Caenorhabditis elegans: one gene and its partner. The protein of the gene in region 1 interacts with the protein of each later gene in a pairwise test. Each region holds a gene or a part of one and is shown on either strand. Other genes may lie near its edges. The genes, in order: gdi-1 and atx-2.

Region 1 (4,357 bases):
AATTTCCTTTCTTTTTTGTTGAAAAAAGTGTTGATCCAACCCAATTCAATTCGATTTCCGGTGCCCCCTTGGAATAATTTTGGATACAAAGCTTTCAACTCTTCTGTTCTGTTCTCTATTTCCCTATTTTGCTCGCCGTCTTCTCCTCCTCCACCCGTCCGGCTTCTCCTCTTCTTGGACATTTTATCGATTTTGTTCTTCTTCGGTGTTGTGTCTCTCTCTCTCTCCCCCCCCCCTTTTCGATGTGTGGGCCAACACAACAATCCCCACATTTCTGCGTCTCGTGTTCTCACCCTCATCCGGTTGTGTCTGCGTCTATGGCTTGTAGGTTCTCGAACTTTCAGTTCTAGATGTCCTAGACTTCAATTTTGAAGGTCTCAACTGGATATTATTACAGTTCGGAAGTCTTGAATAATACTAGATCCAACCCAGATGTCCTCAGATGTTATTTGATCTCTCCAGTCTCTCGCCGTCGCTCCCTTCTCTCAGTCCATTTTGGACGCTCATTTCGACCGCCATCCCGTTTGGGGTTAACCGCGGAGAGAGTGAGTGAGAAAGGGAATGAGCGCTCAAATTCACTCTCACTCACACTCACACGCAGCAGCATCATCTCGTAGACCCTCTCTGGTTGTTGCTGTCTCTGATGACAAACATTCCCTAACTGGGCGCCCCTGTGTTCGTCGTTGCCACGTGTCATTCTATGTCGGCGATTCGGCCATTTGAAGCTCGATCCACGTGTCGCTAGGACAGCTGACGTCATCTTTTCAACTATTATGTTTACTGCGATTATACGAATCAATTGGTGAAATTATTTAGAATAACCTATTTTTTGAGTTGTTTACGATTTTGAAGTCACTTGACTGAAAACTTTCACAGAAAAGGTCTTAAATGAAATGAAACTCTTGCGTAGACTTGATGAAGTTCTGTGAAACTCCTACGTACTCTTGAATAGTAATCGAAAATTATTGATTTCTACTTCCAATCTACTCAAAAGTTAAAAAATATTTCGCAACACATCTTTTCCCCATTCTTTTCTGTATTTTTTAGCAATTTACCTTAAAATCTTCAATAATTCCAGCCTACGATGCAGTCGTCGCTTCGGAAATTGTCGAACACGTCGCCGATCTTCCCGGATTCATTGGCTGCCTCGCTGAGCTGGCTCGCCCCGGTGCCCCGCTCTTCATCACAACTATCAACAGAACGTGGCTGAGCAAATTGGCAGCTATTTGGCTTGCAGAGGTTTGATTTTTTTCTTTCTTTTTTTTTTGGAAATAAATTTGAAAATTTTCAGAATGTACTCAAAATCGTGCCGCCCGGAGTCCACGACTGGGAAAAATTCATCACACCCGCCGAGCTCACTTCACATCTCGAAAAAGCGGGTTGCCGGGTGACGGCGGTGCATGGATTAATGTTTCATCCGGTTGGAAATCACTGGACATGGATCGAATCGACTCAGTGTAATTACGGAATTTTGGCAGTGAAGAATTAGATTTGAAGATTTTTTGTTTAGTGTTGCTAGTTTTTTTTTCATGTTTCCATATGTTACTGGTGCTATTTTTTTTAATTTTCAAAAAAAAAAATAATTTGAGACCTAACTCTTTTAAATGTCAAACAATTGGGTTTGATCTACCCGCAAAATATCTGATTTTCAACAACTTTATTCTCTGCGTCTCTCCCTCCCTCCCTCTCACTCTCTTTCTTCAGTTTTTATAATTATTTTCTTGAATTCTAAAATTTCCTTTTTGAAATTCAACTTTTCTTTCAGTTTCTCTTTCCCCGCAATTTTCCAAATCACAATCCGATCAATTTTCAGGAGTTCCAACCAATTCCCCGAAAAACTCGCTCGAAATGGATGAGGAATACGATGCCATCGTTCTCGGAACCGGCCTCAAGGAGTGCATCATCTCGGGAATGCTGTCGGTTTCCGGAAAGAAGGTTCTCCACATTGACCGAAACAACTATTATGGAGGAGAGTCAGCTTCACTGACTCCACTTGAGCAACTCTACGAGAAATTCCACGGTCCACAAGCCAAGCCACAACAGGAGATGGGACGTGGACGTGACTGGAACGTCGACTTGATTCCAAAGTTTTTGATGGCCAACGGGCCATTGGTCAAGCTTCTCATCCATACTGGAGTCACTCGCTACTTGGAATTCAAGTCGATTGAGGCCTCGTTCGTTGTGAAGGGTGGAAAGATCTACAAGGTGCCGGCCGATGAGATGGAGGCTCTTGCCACTTCCCTTATGGGAATGTTCGAGAAACGTCGCTTCAAGAAGTTCCTCGTCTGGGTGCAACAATTCGATGAGAACAAGGAGGACACTTGGCAAGGACTTGACCCACACAACAGCACAATGCAGCAGGTTTACGAGAAGTTTGGCCTTGACGAGAACACCGCCGATTTCACCGGACACGCGCTGGCCCTCTACCGTGACGATGAGCACAAGAATCAACCATACGCTCCAGCTGTTGAGAAGATCCGATTGTACTCTGACTCATTGGCTCGTTATGGAAAGTCACCATACTTGTACCCATTGTACGGATTGGGAGAACTTCCACAGGGATTCGCTCGTCTCTCGGCCATCTACGGAGGAACCTACATGCTCGACAAGCCAGTCGACGAGATTGTGATGGAGAATGGAAAGGCTATTGGAGTCAAGTGTGGAGATGAGATTGTCCGTGGAAAGCAGATCTACTGCGATCCCTCATACGCCAAGGATCGTGTCAAGAAGACTGGACAAGTTGTCCGAGCCATTTGTTTGTTGAACCATCCAATTCCAAATACAAATGATGCTCAATCCTGCCAGATTATCATTCCACAAAAGCAAGTTGGAAGACATTATGGTAAATTTATAGTCTTGGAAAAGCAGCGCGTCGCACAGAAAAGAGGTAGGGCGTAATTTTGCAATCTTGCGGCACGGGTTTTTCCTACTTTTTTTGTTAATGTTTGAATGAAAATATTATCGAATTTAATTATCCGAAGACTAAAATAGTCTCACGATCCTATGAGAATTAGGTAAAATTGAAACTTTATTGAAAAATAAATTAAAAGGAGGAAAAACCGAGCCGCCGGTTTGCCAATTTACTCTCCGCCTCTTTTTCTGTGCGACTCGCTGCTTTTTGCAAAACTCACGCTTTCAGCATCACTAATTCCCTTTTTTTCAGACATCTACATCTCATGCTGCTCCAACACGAACATGGTGACACCAAAGGGATGGTATTTGGCAATGGTCTCCACCACTGTCGAGACAGCCAATCCAGAGGCTGAAGTTCTTCCAGGACTTCAACTTCTTGGCGCAATTGCCGAGAAGTTCATTCAGATTTCCGATGTTTATGAGCCATCTGACTTGGGATCTGAGTCACAGATCTTCATCTCTCAATCTTATGATGCTACGACTCACTTTGAAACCACTTGCAAGGTAATTTAAAGAATTTAAAACAATTTTTGAAAGAAATTATAATTATTCATTTTTCAGGACGTGCTCAACATGTTCGAACGTGGAACGACCAAAGAATTCGACTTCACCAACATCACTCACTTGTCGTTGAATGATCAGGAATAATTGAATATCCATTCCCTTCTTTTGAGTACTCTGATTTGACGCTTCTGATGCTGCTTTTGCTCTTTTTTGTCGCCTCTATAAAAAAAACGATTCCCGTTCCGTTTGTTTCTCCTGTCCAATGTTCATTTTCAACCGATTTTAATTTATTGTATTTTCTCTTTTCCAGTCTCTATCCTCATGTGATTCCCCGAGAACCCTTTTTTTAAATTTCAATTTTCGTCCCGAAAACAAAATTTCTTCCCACTATTTCCTTTGTATTTAACTTTACAATTCCCAAACAAAGTCCGCTTCGTAAATCTATAAATCACTTTATCCTTTTGAAGTACTTCATTACAGAAATACAATTATTATCACGATCAGAAAGTTTGGATAGGATGGGATTACATTTGATGAAGGGAGATCATTTCCATTTGAAAATTGGAGAAGAATAAGCATATATGTTTTTACATAATTGATTAAAGAAAAAATCCCAGTTTAAGCCATCACAAGCAGAGCATCGAGCTGATCATCGACACGTTGCATCATCTTTTTGTACAAATCCTCCATATTCTCGAGCAATGCCATTTTCAGTCCGAATTGTAGAGACTCGTCTTTAGCGAGAAGAGCACGTGTGACGACCGCATATGTTTCACAATCGTTGCGAAAAGCCTGAAAAATAGAAAATTTGACTCAAATTAGTCAATGAGTAACTTGAAAACTTACCGATTCGAGTTGCTTCTTCTTAATATGGAAACGCATCATTTGCTCATCGTTGAGCTTCGCAAGCTTCAACTCCCTCACCATCGCCTTCTCCTCG
Region 2 (7,803 bases), on another chromosome or scaffold:
TGATGTCCTCACTGAAATAAAATATTAGAGTTAAAGCAGGCAAAGTTCGTGAAGATTTCGGCATGAAATATTGTAAAATTAACAAAATGCTAGGCATGTTTCAGATTAAAACCAGGAAATTCGCTTCTGAAAACTGAAATTACGTACATGCTTCGTGCAGAGAACACGAGAATCGCCTGAAAGCATCTGGCAATGATTTCCACGTCGACAGAGCTCATCTCGATCGTCGGCCAGTGTTTTTTCTCGATTCTCGCGAGCTCGTGGAGTCCCGGCAGGCACAACGAGAGAATGCTGGAAAAAATTATATAGAAAATATAAATAGTTCTACTTTACTTACTCGTAAATGTAATTGAGATCATTGGGCTTCTTGCTGAACGATGTCAAGTATACAGGCAGAAACTCTAGCTGCTCGGCGGCCTGGATCCGGTCTTTTGCCATTTTGAGATAGATCAGACTGAAATTCTGGAAAAAATATTAATTTTTTGGGTTATACATCGTCTGGAGAACGCTACAAACCGATGAAATGGCACTCGGGCCTTGGAAAAGTTCGAGCAGACGTGGCACTGGGAGACGGATCGCCAAATTGCTCTTGACGACTTTGTTGAAGTGTGTGAGAAATTCGGTGACCTGGAATCACGAATTTTAGTCATTTTGAATCAAATTTCAGCGAATTTTTGCGTCTTACCAGCTGAATGTGCTCCTGCTTTCTCCCGGCAAACTCCAACACATCGCACAAGTGCCGATCTGTGATAGTTTGTAGCTTGGCGTCCGAGTTGGCGTTGACGAGCCGCAGGAAGACTCTTTCCACTGAAAATTTCAAGTTCATTATGTAAATTAGAAGCTAGACTAGCTTACCATCATTTGCTGAGTCGAGAGACGTCAGCGAAGCTGATTCTCTGGGAGCATCGACTTCCATTGGGCTTTCCATGCTGAAAATACTAAATATTTAGCGTTTTACGAAGAAATTAACGTCGAAAAATGAAGAAATTACACTGAAATTGCTAAAAATTGTTCAAAACAATACGAGAAACTCGGTTTTTCCGCAAAAAGTAAAATGTTCTTGAATTTATTCCAAAATGTCATCAAAAATATTTTTATTTTCAGTCTGCGTCTCTCTTCATCGTGTCAATGGGGCGAACTTGACAAGAGACGTCACAGAACCTTTCTCTACAGAAATTTGAGTCTTGAAAAAAAGACCGAAAAACAGGGGAAATTTTTAAATATTTTTGATGAGCGATAAATTTTAAATTGAGAATTAGTTTTGTTTATTTCAAATTGTATTATCGACAAAGTGTATTGGAAGATAGCGCAGGGAAAGAATTTCTCCGAGTGGGAGTTTCCCCAAAATCTGTGGTGTCAAACAGATAAATATTTCCCAATCGCGAAATTTTGCACGAGAAATGTGGTACCCGGCAAGATAATTTTTTGTCAAATGAAAAAAGTGTGTGCTCCTATGAAGAAATGTCCTATCTTTCTTTTAAGAACAAAATCTGAATTTTGTCAGACCTAATTCAATAAATTGCGGATAAACTTTTTGATTTGGGGAAAATGCTTTTATTCATTGCCCAAAAACTCAACTGTTGAGGCGAAATGTTCATGTTTTACCACTTTCCTTGGAAAAAATCCACTAATTCCCACTATATCGACTTTCCTGAAAACCCCACTGTGTAAAATGCGCGCGGCACACTTGCGAAACCCTGTGCGGCGCACTTGCATAGGGCGGAGTCTCAGGCAATCCCGACGGAAATCGGCGCGTCATTTACCGCATGTGCGTGTCCTCCGCTGTCTGCGTGCTCTCTCGTCTCTCTCTCGAACGTTTTTCAAATTTTTCCGCGAATTTTGTGGATAATTTTCTTCTTGTGGCTCGTTTTGCACGTGGTGAAACCTTGAAAAACGGGATTGTGTTGGAAATTTCAAAAATTTGCCCAAAACTGTTACTCATATTAAACTTCCATTATCGTTGCGAAATTGCTGTTTTTAAAATTCAAATTTTTTCCATTTTCAGGTACATTTCTCCTGTACCCAAACTCTTTGACTGCTCCACAGACAATCTTCTATTTATTTATATTTTATTTGCATCCAAAGTGCGAATGAAAGAAATGGTAAGCGCTGGCAACTTGAAAATTTCTTTAAAAATACAATTTTTCCAGTCAACACCAACGGGTCTTCCTGCGCTAAATGGCGATGTGTTGAGCGCCATCAATGATATGATCGGACGTGTAATTATCATTAATACTACGGACAAAAAGCGATATTCTGGGGTGCTGGGCGCCGTGTCTCAGGATTTCGATTTCGGGATGCAGTGCGTCGTGGAAATTACGAAGGAGAACGAGAATAACTTGCTGAGAACAGAGTCGGAATGCAGAGACAAGATGGTATTTCACTATAGTGATATTGTCGATTTTGCGTACGTTACGCAAGAGATCAAGAAGCAGCATGCTGGTAAGAGCTGTTTCAGGGAACTTTTTCATTAAAAAAAATGCATGACATCTTTAATTTTGGGCCAAGTCGGGTTCACAGTTACGATTTTTAATCCGAAAAAGCTGAAAAACTCTCCATTTTCAGTCAGCAAATTCGTCACCGATAGACAATACCACGGAGATACTCCAATCGAGGGCGAAGAGCTTCAGGAATGGAACGGAGGTGAGGAGGACGGACTCGGAGGATCCATTGAGGACGACGTCGTCGTTGCTGGTGGACAAACCGCCGCTCGTCGCAGCAACAATCACAACAACGGCACCGGATGGTCGGTCAACGACATGTTCGCCGCCAACGAGAAGATGAACGTGGTGTCGACGTTCAAAGAGGATTTAACGCAATACACAACGTAATTTATTTGAATTTTTTCGCTTGAAAAATCCAGGATTTTCGGAGTCTGCAAGCGTTTTTGGGCATCTGAATCTATTTTTTTCAGTTTTGCCTTGAAAAAATCTTGTCACTGAACCATTTTTGCAAAATTTTGCATAAAAATGTCCTGAAAGTTGATAATTGACAATTTTCAGGTTATTTTTAAGCATTTTTTCGAATATTTCTACCGAAATCAGTGTTATTCTCTGATGGATCAAGTGCTTTCCTATATTTTGACCCGATTTTTTAATTTTAATTTTGGAAAACATCGTGCAAAGCAATAAAATCCCAAATTTCAGCGTCGAAGTGGTAGGAACCGACGAAGATCGAGCACGCGCCGAGCGGCTCGCTAGAGAAATTGAGTCCAACTCGTCGTCGAAGTTTATGGCGAACTTGGAGAACGACGACGACGAGCGAGATTTGGACAAAATCACGCGTCAAGAGGATTTCGAGAATGGCAATGGCCGAAAGCGGTTGGAATTCTTTAAAAATTTGAATTTATTAATTTAAAAATTTATTTGTTTCAGCAATAATAACAGCTTCAACCAGCAACAACAACAGCGCCGCAATCCGAATATTGCACCAAACGGGCAGCCAGTGAATCGACGTGCCGAGGGTCTTCGCGGAGATCGTCGTAATAGTGGAAGCTCTTCAGCGAACAATAGTCGCTACGGTGCTCCAGCAGCGGCTCAGCAGAACTATTCACAGAATCAGCAGCAGCAGCAAGGTCAAAAAGGTTATCGCCGCCAGAACGAGGAAAATGGTTCGTGTACATTCCCGAGAGTACAGTGTGTCTCTTTGATCATTATCTCTCTCTCGTTCTCTTTCTCCGCGTCCAACAGTTCTTTTTTCGGTGTATTCCGTTTTCTTGACCCATTTCGCATGACATAATTTCGCTAGCGGCTGCAGCGGTTGTCTTCAGCTGATTAATTGGAGTGTTTTTCCTCGTGGGATGCGGAAAAAAGCGATTTTTTTTTTGCAAATTTTCAGCAAAAAAATCAGATTTTTCCCATCAGAAAACCAATTTTTCATTCTTTCCTCACATTTTGATCACAGAAATACGAAATAATTCTGCAATAGTGTTATTTTCAGTGGAAAAATCGTTTTTTTTTCCGATTTTTGACTGAAAAACGTTTTCTTTGTGTCAGAAAAAACAAGTAAATGCCGATTTTTAAGTGAAAACGCCGAAAAAAAAAATTGAAAAAATGACCGAACGGGTCCCAGTTTATCCATACAAACACACCTGCGTCTCTGATACATGCTTTCATCAAGTCTCTCTCTCTACCTCTGTCTACCTCTCTCTCTCTGTCCGCTTCCTCACCGCTTATCATCTTCATCATCATCATCACAAGTTGGTTGTGTTCTTCTCGAAAAACCGTGTTGTCTATGTTGTGTACCAATCGATCGTTAGGGAGGCGCCACACTTTCTCTCTCTCTCTCATTCCTTTCCGCTCTCTTTTTTCTCGGTGATTTTTTGTTGTTGTGTGTGTGTCTGAATGATGATGAAACATGCGATCGTTCATACCTTTTTTGCCTCCTTTGCAGCTTCACCAGTCCTCAGATCCTTCTAGATAATGGAAATTCCACAGTTTTCGAAGTTTTTAGTGTCTTTTAAAAGAAATCTTGATTTAAATTCCTCTTGAAAATCTGTCAGAATCAGATCAAGAGCATTTTGGTATAGCGTTAAAATACTGTAACCGGTCTCGACACGACATATTTGTGTTTAATGGTATGCACCTTTAAAGAGTACTGTATTTTCAAACTCTTTTTGCTGCGAAATTTCTGTTTTTTCATAGTTTCATATGAATATTCCACAGCAACAAGAGTTTGAAATATTTTTTCAAGGCGCCCACCCTTTTGCATTAAACAAGCTTGTCGTGCCGAGACCGGGTAACGTATTTTTGGTAAAAATTCGATTTTTGATTCCTTAGAAAACAATTTCCGTCGTTTTTGTTTAAACAATGACTCATTCTACTTAATTTTCAGACTGGCAGATGGCCAAGGGGAAGGGCCAGAACCAGGGCCACGACCACTCGTTCCGTCAACAGCAGAAGCAGATGCTGGATCCGAGACCCAACAACAATGTGAAGCCGGCTGACGATAAAGCTCAATCTGCCACCACTGCCACTGCTGCTGCCGGTGGATCCCGTGTGACAGATCTCAAGAACTGGGGCAACGAGTTTTCGATTGCGACGGCTCCAAAGGATCAGGCTCCGGCGGTGCCAGCTGGAAACTCGGGTAGTGCCTGGAATCGCGGACCACCGAGCTCGCTGGTTGCCAAGGGATCATCAAATGAGTCGACTCCACCACCGACAACCAATGGAGAGGAGGCTGAGACTAAAAAAGGTATCTATTTTCTATTTTTCTCAACAAAAATGAACAATTTTGCCAATTTCCAGAAGAAGCTCCATCCACAAGCGTCGATGTGGCAGCTGCACCAGTGCAAAACGTACAGAACGACGCGGAAAAGCATCAGGAAGACGACAATGTTTCCGTTACTTCAGAGAATGATTCAGTGATCACTTCGAAGTCATCGTCGTTCAAATTCAACATCAATGCTCCAGAGTTCAAGCCACGTGTGGCTCCGGCGACTCCAACAGCGACGACTCCAGTGCAAAATGGTAGGAAAACGAACAAAACGGCTTTTTTTCAGTATTTTTGTATCAAAAATTAATACAGAAATGTATGTAGAAAAAAGATAATTTTTGTTGAAAGGTTTGAGAAAGATCTCAAATTGTGTCATTTGAGAGGGAATTTTTAAACCAAAATAAATATTTTTCTAAATACACATAGGTATCAATTTTTGATACAAAAATTTTGGCTGCCAAGACGGAGTTTTAACTCTAAAATTTTCAGAATATCATCCACAACAACAGCCACATCCAGCAATGATGGCTCCACAACAAGGACCACCTGCTCCTGGAATGGGAATGGTTCCACCACACATGGGCGGCCCACAAAATCAAGGTCAACCACCGATGATGATGTGGCAACAGACTGGACAACAGCAACAAGGCGGTGGCGGCTATCCACAGAATCATCAATTCCCAATTCAACATGTCCCAATGCAAGGTGTTCCTGGACAGATGTATGGCCCGGGAGCTGCGACTCCGGTCACTGTTGCTCAGCAGCCAAATCAGCAGCATCAGGTGCCAACCAGTGCGGCTGGTGGTCAGAATCATCAGTTGAGAGATGGAGAGTATCGTGAGAAGCAGCCACTCTACATGCCATATGGACCGCCACAAATGGTTCCAGTCACATCTCAGGTAACCGAAAATTTGGAATATCCCTGTAGAAATAGGGAAAACATTTATTTTTAAAGGCCTTGAATTTTTAGAATTTTAAACTTTTCCTAATCTAAAATTCCTGATTTCTCAATTCCAAAAATTCTAAATTTTTTCAGCAATTCTATCATTCACAGTACCAAGGCCAGATGCAGCAAGCTGCTCCATACCAAATGAAGATGATGCCACAGCAAGCTCCACAGGGTGCCTATCAACAGAGATATCAGCAGCCACAAGTGTACATGATGCCTCCACAGGGTCAGCAGCAGCAGCCGAGATACCAGGGTCCTCCACCACCACAGCAACAGCAACAGCAACAACCGCAGCAACAACAATTCTCCGGAGAGCAAAGTCGCCCACAATCACATCCGAATAGTCAGCCAACGACTCCGGGACCACGTGGCGAGTTGCCAAAGATGAGCGGTGCTCCACAGGTGAGATTTCTTTTTTTTTAAACTTATTCGCATGTTTCCCTCTTTCAAACTTTCTGTGCCTAATAAGATGAAGCTTTTCAATATTGTGACCGTGACTCTATTTTCAGAACGGAAACATGCAGGCCGAGTCGAGCAGCAACGCTAGTCACAGCGGATCGACGAGCTCTCAGTCGGGACAACGAAGCGGATCTCCACCAGGTGCTGTTCCTCCACCACCACCACCACAGCAGCAGCATCAGCAACAACAACATCCACCACATCATGCTCCTCCACACGTCGGAGCACCACCACCACAGATGATGCAGCAGCAGCAGCAACACATTCAACAGTATATGGTGATGCAGGGACCGCATCAAATGCATCCGCAGATCCCTAATTACTATCAGCAGCCTCAGGCATGTTTAATCTCTCTCTTTCTTTCCTTTTTTCAGTGGTATTTTTGATTTTTGGTTTTCTTGTTTTTTTTCCTTTCTTTCAGAAGTTTCAGAACAAAATTGTGATTGACTCTGCTAAATTTTTGTAGATCTGCAAGTTCTACAGCTGAAATCGCCCAGTGAAAAAGGAGAAAAAATTGCCTAATGTTTTTTTTCATACTTTTTTTCTTAAAAATAGCGAGAAAGTTTCGATTCCGACTGTAGAACTTGAATGTGCCCAAATCAACGAAAAATTGGCAAATTTTAGCTGAGATCTCCTATTTCGGCAATTTTTCTGGATAGATTTTTTTTTTGAATTGAATTTTGAGATTTTATTTAAAATTACCATTTTTTGAGAAATATTTGAAAATGTCTCACACTCTATAAAAGAACAAAACCGAGAAAAAAACGTAAATCTAATTTTCAATCATTTTCAGCAAGTATTCTATCCGATGATAATGCCCCAACAGATGCCAATGCAACAGAACCAACATCCTCAACAAAGTCTTATGGGCGAGCGATCTGATCAAGGATTCCCGACGTCGGGATACTTTGACTACCGTACAATGCCAAACTATCAGCAACAACAACAACAGCAACAGCAACAAATGCACCGCCAGAATTCGCTTCCACAGCAGTTCCAAGGCAATCAAGGTAATGTTTTAAATGTTTATAAAGTTCAAATTTCTAACCGTTTATGAAGCTTTGAAGGTGTAAATCCATCTGGTCAACAATCTGGTCCACCACCACCGCCACCACCGTCTCAACAAGGCACACCACGTGATCAGCAGCACTCTCAGAGCCCCCCGTAATCATATCTATATG

What was found.
Region 2: the proteins of gdi-1 (region 1) and atx-2 come close enough for resonance energy transfer, tested with the Caenorhabditis elegans proteins (one study listed by BioGRID).

Annotation. Positions count from the first base shown.
Region 1 is NC_003282.8:14,790,342-14,794,698, reverse strand, and holds gdi-1 (Rab GDP dissociation inhibitor), read left to right. Parts: upstream 1-1,848; coding exon 1,849-2,887; intron 2,888-3,163; coding exon 3,164-3,417; intron 3,418-3,474; coding exon 3,475-3,561; downstream 3,562-4,357. Other genes in the region: coq-3 (Ubiquinone biosynthesis O-methyltransferase, mitochondrial), read left to right, coding at 1,079-1,239, 1,292-1,489; melo-1 (RRM domain-containing protein), read right to left, coding at 4,036-4,209, 4,264-4,357.
Region 2 is NC_003281.10:10,459,623-10,467,425, forward strand, and holds atx-2 (Sm domain-containing protein), read left to right. Parts: upstream 1-1,766; coding exon 1,767-2,102; intron 2,103-2,150; coding exon 2,151-2,442; intron 2,443-2,565; coding exon 2,566-2,827; intron 2,828-3,146; coding exon 3,147-3,320; intron 3,321-3,374; coding exon 3,375-3,610; intron 3,611-4,833; coding exon 4,834-5,193; intron 5,194-5,246; coding exon 5,247-5,468; intron 5,469-5,703; coding exon 5,704-6,113; intron 6,114-6,250; coding exon 6,251-6,565; intron 6,566-6,672; coding exon 6,673-6,964; intron 6,965-7,419; coding exon 7,420-7,632; intron 7,633-7,681; coding exon of another isoform or gene 7,682-7,689; coding exon 7,690-7,790; downstream 7,791-7,803. Other genes in the region: ecps-1 (Proteasome component Ecm29 N-terminal domain-containing protein), read right to left, coding at 1-11, 148-291, 338-462, 517-627, 686-807, 856-928.